Sus scrofa: one gene and its partners. The protein of the gene in region 2 purifies or fractionates together with the protein of the main gene of each other region. This does not show direct contact. Links are inferred from orthologs where the notes say so. Each region holds a gene or a part of one and is shown on either strand. Other genes may lie near its edges.

Region 1 (3,649 bases), on a different chromosome or scaffold from region 2:
AAAATTTAATTCCTCCAAAACACTTGTACATGAATGTTCGCAGCATCACTCTTACACTTTATATGAACAATTATATTATTATAGGCAAAAAATGGAAACAACCCAAAATGACCATCAACTGATGACTGAATAAAGTGTGACATATCCATGTAACATTAATGACCAATAAAAAGGAGTGAAGCACCAAAGCACTTCACCATAGCTGAACCTTGACAATATGATGCTAACTGAAAGAAGCCAGACACAAAGGGCCATATATTACATGTTTTCCTTTATCCAACACATCCAGAAGAGGCAAATCCATGGACAGAAAGTACAGCAGTGGTTGCCAGGAGATGGTTATGAAAGGTGACTACTAATCAGTACAGGGTTTGAGGGAGGAGTGAGGAGATGTTCTGGAAGAGACAACAGTGATGGCTGTACAAGCTTGTGAATGTACTAAAAACCACCAACGCATACACTTTAAAAGGGTGGATTTTATGATGCATTAATAATGTCTCAAAAAAAAAAAAAACATGGTGAGTGGATGCTAAAATTAGTGGGTGAATATTGAGGAAAAACAAGATCCTAGCATAGTATTAAAGCATCTCCCCAAGATATTTATTATAGAGGGGAAAACTGTCACTTTACCGGTCAGAAAACCAGGCCAAAATCTTCTTAACCGAGTAGTAAAAGTTAACATCACCAGTAATAAGATATATCGACATTAAGCACAGCTGCTAGGATGCACTGAGGAGGACACAATACACTTACGTGGTCTTCTAGTCAAAAAGGCATCACCTGATTTAATCATGAGGCAACCACAACAGCCCCACTGAGACATTCTACTCATCAAATCAAAGCCATGAAGAGACAAGGAAAGACTGGAGGAACTATCATGGACTGGAGGAGACTAAGAAGATACAGCTAAATGCAGTGTGAGATCCTCGAAAAAAGCAGCTCAGTGTGTGTGTGGGGGGGTGAAGTTCAAATCACATGTAGCTTCAGTTAACAGTGTGGTATCAATGTTAACTTCCTGGCTTTGATAACTGCACTGTAGTTAGGTAAGTCATTAGCCTTGGGGGACACGGGATGACGGGCCAATCCAAATCATTCCCCAAGCTTTTCCTAACTGGAATAAATGGAAATACCACCTTGCCACTTGGGTGACAAAGCTGGGGAGATTTAACTTGGGCTCCTGGCACCTCTGTATCTTACACATGGAAAAGACTTTTATGTAGGGGAAATGAATGAAGCTAACACTAGGAGTAGAGAGACAGAAACTGAAAGGGCCCTAAAAGCACTGTAGTCAGTAGACTCAGTCAGTAGTTCCTACATCAGACTCACTCTGCTCATGGTTTAGCAATGTGAGTCCAAATTTTTCCCTTTCTGCTGAAGCTAATAAGGGCTGGGTTCCTGTTACAACTGAAAAAGTCTTAATACAGTTCTAACTGAAAATGATTTTATCCCGCTGACACCTAAAATATATTCTTTAAAGAACTCTTGAGCAATAATCTTTGTACAGTTATTCCAAGAATATGGAAAATAAAACAGTTTAATAAGTAGATATGACAAGTGCAATACATTATCCTCTTTCTCTCCTCATACTCCTTTGACAAAGGTAAGGAAATATGTCAAAGACAACAGCCTAAAGCAGAGTCCCCCTGTTCAAAAGGAAATAAGGGGGAGTTCCCATTGTGGCTCGGCGGTAATAAAGCCAACTAGTATCCATGAGGATAAAGGTTCAATCCCTGGCCTCACTCAGTGGGTTAAGAATCCGGCACTGTCCTGAGCTGTGGTGTAGGTGGTAGACTCAGCTCAGATCTGGCATTGCTGTGGCTGTGCTGTAGGCCAGAAGCGGTACCTCCGATTCAACTCCTAGCCCAGGAACTTCCATGTGCCAGAGATGTGGCCCTAAAAAAAAAATTAATTCAAAAGGAAATAAGGAAGTTCATTTGCAATAGAATGAGAAATTAAGTCTTTTAGCCCAGAGGTCTGTATCCATCCAAGAAATATCTCTATGAAACAGGAAAGTTGCTATACACCAACTTAAATAAATAAAGTTTCATACAAACCTCAGCCTCAACTGCTATTTCATACTTGGACTTCTTGCCTGGCATAGTTCGAATCAGATTCAATAGGCCATCCTCATCAATAATTTTTGTTCCCAAGGCTGCTGCCTATTGATTGAAAAGGCAAATCATTAAAACCACATCCTAACCATTAATTTCTGCAAAAATATATATAATGATTCTCAGACTTGTCAGGAGGTAAAAAACATTCATAAATTACATAATACTGGAATATTTTTAAAACCATATTCACGAAAAAAAAGTAATACTAAAAAGAAAGAAAATAACAGATACCTCCCCGAGGAGTGGCGGATTGGCACTTGAAATGTACACACCACTTTTGCAGACTGCTTTTCCTTTCCAATACCCTACAAAGGGCAGCGCCACAAGGGCCTATTCCAGCTCTTCACACCTTCTCCCAGGGTTGATCTGCTGGCAAACATTCTCTCCCACCTTCTCCCTTGCTGACAGAACACCAATGTGTCCATCTCCAAGTGATGAGTTATAAGAATCACAAAAGTCCTAGGAGTTCCTGTCGTGGCTCAGGGGAAATGAACCCAACTAGTATCCATGAGTATGCAGGTTCCATCCCAGGCCTCACTCAGTGGGTTAAGGATCCAGTGTTGCCTTGAGCTGTGGTATAGGTCACAGATGGGGCTCAGATTTGGTGTTGCTGTGGCTGTGGCAGAGGCTGGCAGCTACAGCTCCAATTCGATTCCTAGCCTGAGAACTTCCACATGCCTTGGGTGAGGCCCTAAAAAAAAGGAAAGCAAAAAAACAAAGTCCTCATCCTCCTCAACCTCCCGTAGAGCTCTGAATGGCTATGTGATGCTCTGGCCAATGAGACTTAAGTGGAATTCTACAAGAGGTGTTTCTGGGAAAACTCTCATAAGTTCAATCCCAGCTAGTACAACACCTGCTCCCTATTTCCTGCCTTGAACGTGACCTTGACAGCTGCAGCTACCTTGCAACACAAGGTAACATGCGCGAAGACTAAAGCTACGCAATAAGGATGACAGAAGTGGAGAAGGGAACTGGCCTAGTTTACAACCCTGAGCTGCTGCACCTGCCTACCTCTAGAACTCTTGTAAGATAAGGAAATAAGCAGCTATTTGTCAAAACCACAGTAAGTCAGGTATTCTATCACTTAGAACTAAATGCAATCCTATCTGACACACCTTCCAATAAAGAGCGCTTCCAATAAAAAAACAAGATGGAGTCCAAAGCAGCACATATAGCAATACTTAGGACTAACTAACTGCATTTGCTTGTCTTCAAAAAAAGATTTTAACTAGAACAGTACACTAAGACAGCCAAGTAAACAGGAACTGTGCCTTCAGCTGGAAAACCAAAATCCTGGGGTCGAAGCCAAACAATACTTCTGTGGAGAAGAAATAATGTAGGAAAGAAATTACTTTTCCATGTTTTTCTTTCATTTCATTCTATGTAGAAGACATTATTGCAAATGGTCACATGCAAGCCCCTGCCAAGGCAAGCAGGCTATTTCACTCTGCTGAGAACACAGCAGTACCCACCTTACCGCTCTTGGACTGACCGCTATCACGACCCATGACAAGGTAGTTTGTTTTCTTGCTGAC
Region 2 (3,649 bases):
CCTGAGTGGTTTACAAACCTTATCACCTTTACAAATGTACCAGCTGGTCGCCTTATACTACACTCAGTCCCCAAGGCCCTCCCCTTGCCCTACTTTCTAACATACTTACTTCTCTTCTTCTACAACATGTTCCAGGCGGGGAACCATGAGTTCAGGAGTCAGGGGGCCGAATCGGAACCTTGTACACCGCGACTGCAAGGCGGGAATGATCTTTGACAGATAGTTGCAGATGAGGCAAAATCTGGTATTTTCAGTAAATTTTTCAATCACTGGCAAGGGAAAAGAAAACTACCTCACATCCATTCGGAGTCTTCAAAGGACCCAGAAACCCAGAGGGTGTCCCTGGAGGGGGTCAAAGACTGGAAATCAGCCACTCTCTTTCCAGACCTGGTGAATGTGTCACCTCCTCAGGACTGTACAAAATGCTTCCTTTTCCATGGCTGGCCACGATTCTGGCACTCTTGCCATGCCATTCCATTAAGATAGGAAACCTAGTAATCCTGTCCTTTGGCATAAAGTTCTGTTTGGCAGATGGATGATGCTCCACCTTCTAGTGGGTGGGGGAGGGGGTGCTTTTTGTGGATTTCCCGGTGGACCTTGTCTCAAACCCTTAGAGCATTCAAGAGAGCGGTAACCCAGATTCAGAGATGCTTGTGACAGCGGTTTCATCCTGTAGCTACCAATATTCACAGGCTGGGACCTGTCCAGACAGACCCCCACACAACATGACGAAGGAAGGCTGCCAAAGCTTCTAGGACCAGAAGATATTCCTCCTCCTCCTCTTAAACATGGGCTGCTCTCCACTCCTCCCCAGAACCCCTAAAGATCTTCTCTCCTAGCTGTTTACTGCAGAATCTTCATGAGAGAGATTAAAAATGTACTTGCAGAGAAATTAAATGCACCAGGCACCTTAAGACTGACAAATCACAGTACACTCTCCCTCCTCTGCCACACCATTCTCTTGGAAAGGGTGAAGTAATGTCAGTTTTCTGAGTGCAACTAAATTTCTAGTATTTGTTCCCTGGCCATTTTGTATCTAAAGGTACCAGCAGCAGAGAGGCCTAGCCCATCAAACAATATAAATGCCCAACCCTAAAACTGACCGTAGTAGAAAAGGCAGATGAAACCCCAGTGTGTCATACCTTAAAGTCCCCAAAGGGCTTATGTCTTTAACCTACTGAGGGGTTACCCCTGATACAGAGATTTTTGTCTAGCTCATCAGGTGGGATACATGGTGAAAGGCATACAGAGATTTCTCTTGGCCAGAAGATGAATAAAAACTTGAAAGAAGCCACGTCCTACATCATGTCTAGAGTTCTTAATTCTTCCAAAGCATGCCTCAGCCAACACTGACACACACAGCAGTGCTCCTTACCTCTCCGCAAGGCGTTCTGGGCATCCTGAGTCATGGCATCAGCTTCATCCAAGATCACTAGTTTAAAGCCCTTCCTAGGAAAACAAATGGTACCACCTAAAGGTTTCTTCCATCTCACTTCGACTTCCAGGCCCAAACCTACACCTTCACATCTGTGCCATCAGGCCCTGTCTCAGAGTTCGTTTCTCTGAGAACTCTGACCAGAGCAGCCACCTGTGGTCACACGGAGCAAACACCCCATCCCTGCTTCAAATCTCAAAGAGAATGAACTCTAATTTCCGTATTTGTGTTAGACTATGTCCTCTGGCACCTCCATCTTTCTTCCCCAAAGGAGCCTATTGTTCCAGTGCTGCTTTCCCCTCCACCTTTACTTAAGCCTGTCTTCTCATCTTTTTCCTTTTTTTCCACCATCCTAGTTATCCACCCTGATCTCAGTTCACTTTGTTTAAATTCAAACTAGTTCATCCAGTTTGATGATGTAACCAGCCCTGTTAACTAATTAAGTGAAACTACTGCTTCCCCAGAGAACTTCTAATACAGATTTAGATAATATTTTACTTTAATATTTCTTACTACCATTCCTGTGCTTTTTCTCTTTTTCATGGCTGCTTTTGACAAAGTTTGCTTTCTTTTTTTTTTTAAACCTTTACAAACTGGCAAAGGAGAGAGTTTTAAAAATTAAACTCTATCATCTCACTGATCAAAATCTTTAGGGGGAGAAATTATGCAAAGAATTCTTACTTAAATATTGTCCTTGTGCTAGCAAAGCTCAGGATTGGTCCCCGAACGATATCTATTCCTCGGTCATCTGAAGCATTCAGCTAAATGTGAAAGAGAGAAGCCAGAATGAATAGAAAACATGTTGGTGTGCTATTCATGAATTACTGTATCTTTTCATCAGTCCTGTTCAGCAAGCTAGGTTTCAAGGTCTAAGGACAGATATGAGATAATCATTAAAAACAAGGTCACAATTATATTTAAGAATCACAACTCACTAGATCATTACTATATATTCTGAAAGGTAAATGACTTTCTTTCCTCCCCTTTTTGGGGACAATCACTGACAAGAGGAATAATTAATTGGTCCGGTCACAGTGAACAGCACTTCTGGCACATGCAGAATGATATAAATTTTAGCTACCACAAGCCAGAGCAACCCATACATTACCAAGTTTTTTAATACATGGAAGTAAGAACACTGGTAGCAGCAAGGTTCCAAGATCTTTAACAAAAAGGTAAGCTAAACTTTTTTTTGTACAATAGACAATATTTAGAATTTCATTATCTAAGTGTATCAATCTAGTCCCCATACTCAAATTCAGTAAATGAAGCAAATTAAATGAAGAGAGATTTTAAAAGGTGCTGGTGAGGGGAGTTCCTGTCGTGGCTCAGTGGTTAATGAACCTGACTAGTATCCATGAGGATGAGGGTTTGATCCCTGGCCTTACTCAGTGGGTTAAGGATCCGGTGGTGAGCCGTGGTGTAGGTCACAGACACGGATCGGATCCCGAGCTGCTGTGGTGTAGGCTGGTGGCTACAGCTCCAATTTGACCCCTAGCCTGGGAACTTCCATATGTCGTGGGTATGGCTCTGAAAAGACAAAAGACAAAAGACAAAAAAAAAAAAAAGAAGGTGCTGGTGAGGTGTGGGGAAACCACAAGGTCTATGTAATACTTCAGAGGCTAATGGAGCCCATCATTACCCCCAGGTCTAAAAGAGTTGGTGGGGAGTGGTGCTGGCACCTGGGGAGGGCTGAGTGCTGTGCCCTCCGGGTGGGGAAGCTATCAGCCTGTGGCGACCCCAGAGCAGGACCAGACATCATTTTCCTTTCCCCAACTCCTGCCAGGGCCCCCACTGGACCCAAACCTCACCAGGAGCCAGAGGGCAGGAGAGCTTGAAGTCAACAGACCTGAGACTTCCAGGGCAAGAACAGGGCGGAGCAACATGGAGAAGGGATTGGGGGTGGGGTGGGGTGGGCGCACAGGAGAGGGCCAGCAACTCAGTGACCATTGAGTGTTTGGGTAAAAGTTGGCAAGAGCAAAGAAAAACACCTAGCCCTACCACTGTCCTCTAGTTAATACCAATCGAGGCCAAAATGTCAAAGAAAAAACTGAACTGAAATATCTTATGTCTGCTTCTTTCCCAACCACCAGCAGAGCAACTAACTCGTAACATAAAACAAAACTAGAAGAAGAGTTCCTGTTGTGGTGAAGCAGAAACGAATCCAATTAGGAACAATGAAGTTGCAGGTTCGATTCCTGGCCTCACTCAGCG
Region 3 (4,344 bases), on a different chromosome or scaffold from region 2:
TCATTTTCAGGTTTCATACTATTTAGTTGAGGAGATAAATTAAGCCTCTTTCCTCTCTTCTTACACTCTGTATTTGAGGACATTTCCAAAGGTGTTTTACAGGCTTTGCCACGGTCAGCAGGCAATGGTGTGGATGACTTTATCTTGTACTTTTTTGCTGTCTGGGTCTTCTCATTTGTGGGTGAAGTCTTTCTAAAATAATCCAGAATGTTACTGGATTTTGGTGGAGAGAAAACCCTGTCTCCAGTTTTCCTGACTGGTGATAAATATTTTGTAATTGTTTTACAAGAAGTTCTGTCATCATCTTTCCTTCGCTTCTTGCATGCCTATCAATTTAAAAGAAGGAAAAAGCACTTATTTCAAGCAAAATACTACAAAACATAAATTTTATTTTATTCTATTGTATTTTTTTCTTTTTTAGGCACCCCGTGGCATATGGAGTTCAAAACATAAATGTTAAACATGGATCTATTATTTTATGTAATGGGACAAAAAAAGGAAGCTTCCCTTAGTTGATATACATGATATACTAGGGGGAAAAAGAGCTTTAGGAGTTCCCATTGTGGCTCAGTGACAATGAACCCGACTAGTATCCATGAGGATGCAGGTTCAATTCCTGGCCTTGCTCAGTGGGTTAAGGATCCAGTGTTGCTGTGAGCTGTGGTGTAGATCACAGATATGGCTCAGATCTGGCATTGCTGTGGCTGTGGTGTAGGCCAGTGACTACAGCTCTGATTCAGTCCCTAGCCTGGGAACCCCCATATCCCGTGGGTAGTCCTAAAAAGACCAAAAAAAAAAAAAAAAAAAGAAAAAGAAAGAATGTGTGACATGAATAGGCAGGCAACTTAACAGAATGGACACAAAAACTAGAAAAGGATACATGTATATTTAAGACTTTGGTATATATAAATGTAACAATAGTTACACTCAAGTTAGTGGGCAAAGAAGTTAATACATAGCATTGGGGCAAATTTCTAACCATTTGGATAAACATGAGGCAAAAGAGAGACAGATTAAAACTTTACATCTTAAAATGAAATGGTAAATGTATTAGAAGAAATGCTAATGAGTTGTTAGTATTATTATTATCCTGAGATGGTACCAGAGGCTCTGGAGTCAAGCAGATCTAAGTTTGAGTGCTGGCTCTGAAAGCTACCAGCATGGGACCCTAAGCAAATTACTTTTAATTTTCTAATTTATTTTTCTACCTTAATTCAACTTTTAATTCTTAACTTTCTCTCATCTTTAGAATACAGATAATAACACCTCAACACAGGATTGCTATTAGGTAAAATAATGTGTATAAGGCCTTTACTGTCACAATACTAAACAATATTTGGTGCCCTGAAATAGTACTCTAAGCAGGGCACCAAAAGAAGAAATTGTAACAAAAAGATTCAGAAACTGACCAAACAAAAAGCAAGAATTGCGTAATTCAAGTTATCAAAAATTCTTCACACCCAAGACAAACCCAGCAACTGCCTTGATCCAGCAAACAAGCATCTGCATAACAAATATTAACAAGAAGGCAAAAAGTACTCAATTCTATTTATTTATTTTTGCTTTTTAGGGCCGCACCTACAGCAAATGAAAGTTCCCGGGCCAGAGGTCAAACTGGAGCTGCAGCTGCCAGCCTACACCACAGCCACAGCCATGCCAGATCCTTAACCCACTGAGCAAGGCCAGGAATTGAACCTGCAACCCCATGGACACTAGACAGGTTCATTACCACTGAGCCACAACAGGAACTCCCAAAAGTACTCAATACTAAAAAGTAAGAAACAGTCCCAGTTCAGTGAGTGAACCTATGTCTTGGCTCACTTCAATGACACCAGTATGCATATGTCAGTTACAAGGCTAGCTTGGGATGAAAAGGTGTGAAAATATAGCAAAATTGTCTACTTGATGATACTCCACTACTTTATGACATTAGAATCTCTTTAGTGCATTTCACTGAAACTAGAACACATAAGAATAAACAGCATACCAAGCTGAGACTTCTTCCTGCAGTATCTTAAGTTCTAGAGCAATGAGAAAGTGATTTTTAAATTATGTACCTTGTTTGATTCCTGTAGTGACACACCAAGTGCTATTCCTAGCACAGGTGGGTGGACAAAAAGATTCTTTTCCACGCTAAAGTTCTGTGATTCCTTATCCAGACTTGACCCTGGAAGACTCCATGACATTTCACTAGTCCAAATTATCAAGTTTCAGGAACATTTCAGGATCTATAAACTGGTCCTTAACTAGGCCCCTCAACATCCTCAATCCTAATGTTTATGGGTACCTACCGCGGCTTTAGGACACACTCCAGCGACTGTTCCACCCAAAGACACAACAAAGGGGCCTCACCAGGTCCCTTCTTTCCCCTCATAGATCCTAGATCAGAACCCTCTTTCACCCACCTCCAACAAATAGAGATACTCAAGCTCACCTCAATCTCGTAATCCCTCACCGGAGGGGTGGCAGCTGCAGCCGCCATGGCCAGGACCCCACCATGCTCCCTGCTTCCCGGAATCCCAGCTCCTAGGACCTTACGCAGCCCGGTCCGACCTGTCTGGAGGCCATGGAGGCAGCCTGCTCCAACGGGAGCAAGAAGCTGGGCCGCGGGGTCTGCCTGGAACCCCCCGCGTCCACCGCCCGGGTGGTCGCAAAGGCTGGGCCGAGAGCTCAGCTGACTCGAACGCGGGAAGAGGTGGTGAGAAAGCGCGAAGAGGACCCTGTAGCGCGGTCGGTGGGGGGTACCTCCAACGAGGACACTCCAATTCCGACGTCGGGCCCAGGACCTCGGAGGGAAAACCAGGCCAAACGTAGACCCAACCCGCGGGCTTCCCAGGGAATTCTTGTCAATTGGGTTTTCGCGCCGTCCGGAGCGCAGGGGGCGGAGCTTAGATCGCTTCCGGAGGCTGCGCGGACGGTGAGCCGAGAAGGCCAAAATGGTTCTTAGGCGAAACTGCCGGAGGCGGGATTATTCATTTGGCTCTAAACGTAGCTGGGATCGTTGTTTTCCGCAACCGCTCTGGTCGCTGATGAGTAGCGGTTCGATCCCCCTGTCGGGCGCAATAGGCTAAGGATCTCGCCTGGCCGTAGCTGCAAAATACAGAGTATGTGGGGTACGTCTCAGCTGCGGCTGGGATTCCATCCCTGGCCCCGAAACGTCCATATTCCACCTGTTCGGCTGAAAAACAAGTAAAAGTAACGGAGATTTTGGAGATTCAAACTCCTCACCCCAGTTTCACGGATGAGAATGTGATTTGACTAAAGTCCGTTGGTGGCAGAATTAAAACCCTAGACTTTTGACGACCTAGACTAGTCCCATTTAAGTGTAAATTCGAAAAATACAGGAAAGGGAATAGCTGTTGATTACACTCCTTCCACACGACTTAAAATGTTACTTTGGCAAGCGACCTACCTCGCTACCTACTAGGGGTCCGAGAATTGACCTTTACCCCTAATTGAGCTCAGGAGGCATTTTTTCCCATGGATTTCGTCCTAGCAAGAAGCCAGGAGCCCAAGTTCATGGCCTCAGCTGGCTGGCGTGTGTTCCAGCTGTCGCAGGGTACCTGTAGTTTGCTAGTTTGTAGTGATGATAATCTCATACGTCATTTTCATTGTTTTCATGAATTTGCCTTACTTTGCTTTTTTACATTAAACTTGCAATATACAAGAGTATGTTTATTTTCTTTGAGTCCATAGTTTTATCTGCAGGATATGTAAGGGCTGAAACAAAACAGGTAAATGTACCTATCAAATATTAACGGGAAGCCACCTTGTTAGGTCGGGTTATGCAAACTGATTTTAACTGTTCACATTATTGTCTGTGTGTATGGTTTATGTCTGGACAACATGAAGGGTACAAATTTTTCCGATGAAATAAATGGTAGTTACTTTTCCTTTGAAAATTATTTGCCTTGGATGTGGTTTTTAGGGAGATTGCACTAAATATAAACTCTTTTGTTGTTATGGTTTGTTTTTTTAATAACCCACTGGGTATGGGAACACCAACCACTCAAGGAGGAGGGAGAGGAGAATGAGAAAAAGGAGGAGCAAGAGCAGGGAGGAGGAAAAGGAGGAAAAATCAATTAGAAAATTACAGAAAAAAATCTGAAAGTGTCCTTGATTTCCACCCCAAAACTCAGTCTCTTCACTCTAAAGGTAGCCAATATCACCTATTCCGTGGATACCACTGCAGCCTTTATTAATACTTTTACGAACGTATATGTATCCATAGAAAAGCCTTTCATTTTGTCTTCCTTTACATGAAAGTTAGCAATATAGGGGCGTTCCTGATGGTCTAATGGTTGGGATTAGGTGCTTTTACTGCTTTGGCCCTAGTTCCATCCC

What was found.
Region 1: the proteins of RFC5 (region 2) and RFC1 purify together in Homo sapiens (co-immunoprecipitation; 6 studies listed by BioGRID and IntAct, counting the BioPlex papers as one, with this or other methods). This does not show direct contact. The link is inferred for Sus scrofa from reciprocal best matches to the Homo sapiens genes RFC5 and RFC1.
Region 3: the proteins of RFC5 (region 2) and ATAD5 purify together in Homo sapiens (affinity purification with mass spectrometry; 4 studies listed by BioGRID and IntAct, counting the BioPlex papers as one, with this or other methods). This does not show direct contact. The link is inferred for Sus scrofa from reciprocal best matches to the Homo sapiens genes RFC5 and ATAD5.

What each region holds. Positions count from the first base shown.
Region 1 is NC_010450.4:30,573,372-30,577,020, forward strand, and holds part of RFC1 (replication factor C subunit 1), read right to left. Parts: coding exon 3,587-3,649; intron 2,160-3,586; coding exon 2,055-2,159; intron 1-2,054. UniProt on the Homo sapiens protein: Subunit of the replication factor C (RFC) complex which acts during elongation of primed DNA templates by DNA polymerases delta and epsilon, and is necessary for ATP-dependent loading of proliferating cell nuclear antigen (PCNA) onto primed DNA.
Region 2 is NC_010456.5:34,636,025-34,639,673, forward strand, and holds part of RFC5 (replication factor C subunit 5), read right to left. Parts: intron 2,197-3,649; coding exon 2,117-2,196; intron 1,450-2,116; coding exon 1,376-1,449; intron 270-1,375; coding exon 110-269; intron 1-109. UniProt on the Homo sapiens protein: Subunit of the replication factor C (RFC) complex which acts during elongation of primed DNA templates by DNA polymerases delta and epsilon, and is necessary for ATP-dependent loading of proliferating cell nuclear antigen (PCNA) onto primed DNA.
Region 3 is NC_010454.4:42,917,548-42,921,891, forward strand, and holds the start of ATAD5 (ATPase family AAA domain-containing protein 5), read right to left. Parts: upstream 2,892-4,344; 5' UTR 2,483-2,891; coding exon 2,435-2,482; intron 327-2,434; coding exon 1-326. UniProt on the Homo sapiens protein: Has an important role in DNA replication and in maintaining genome integrity during replication stress.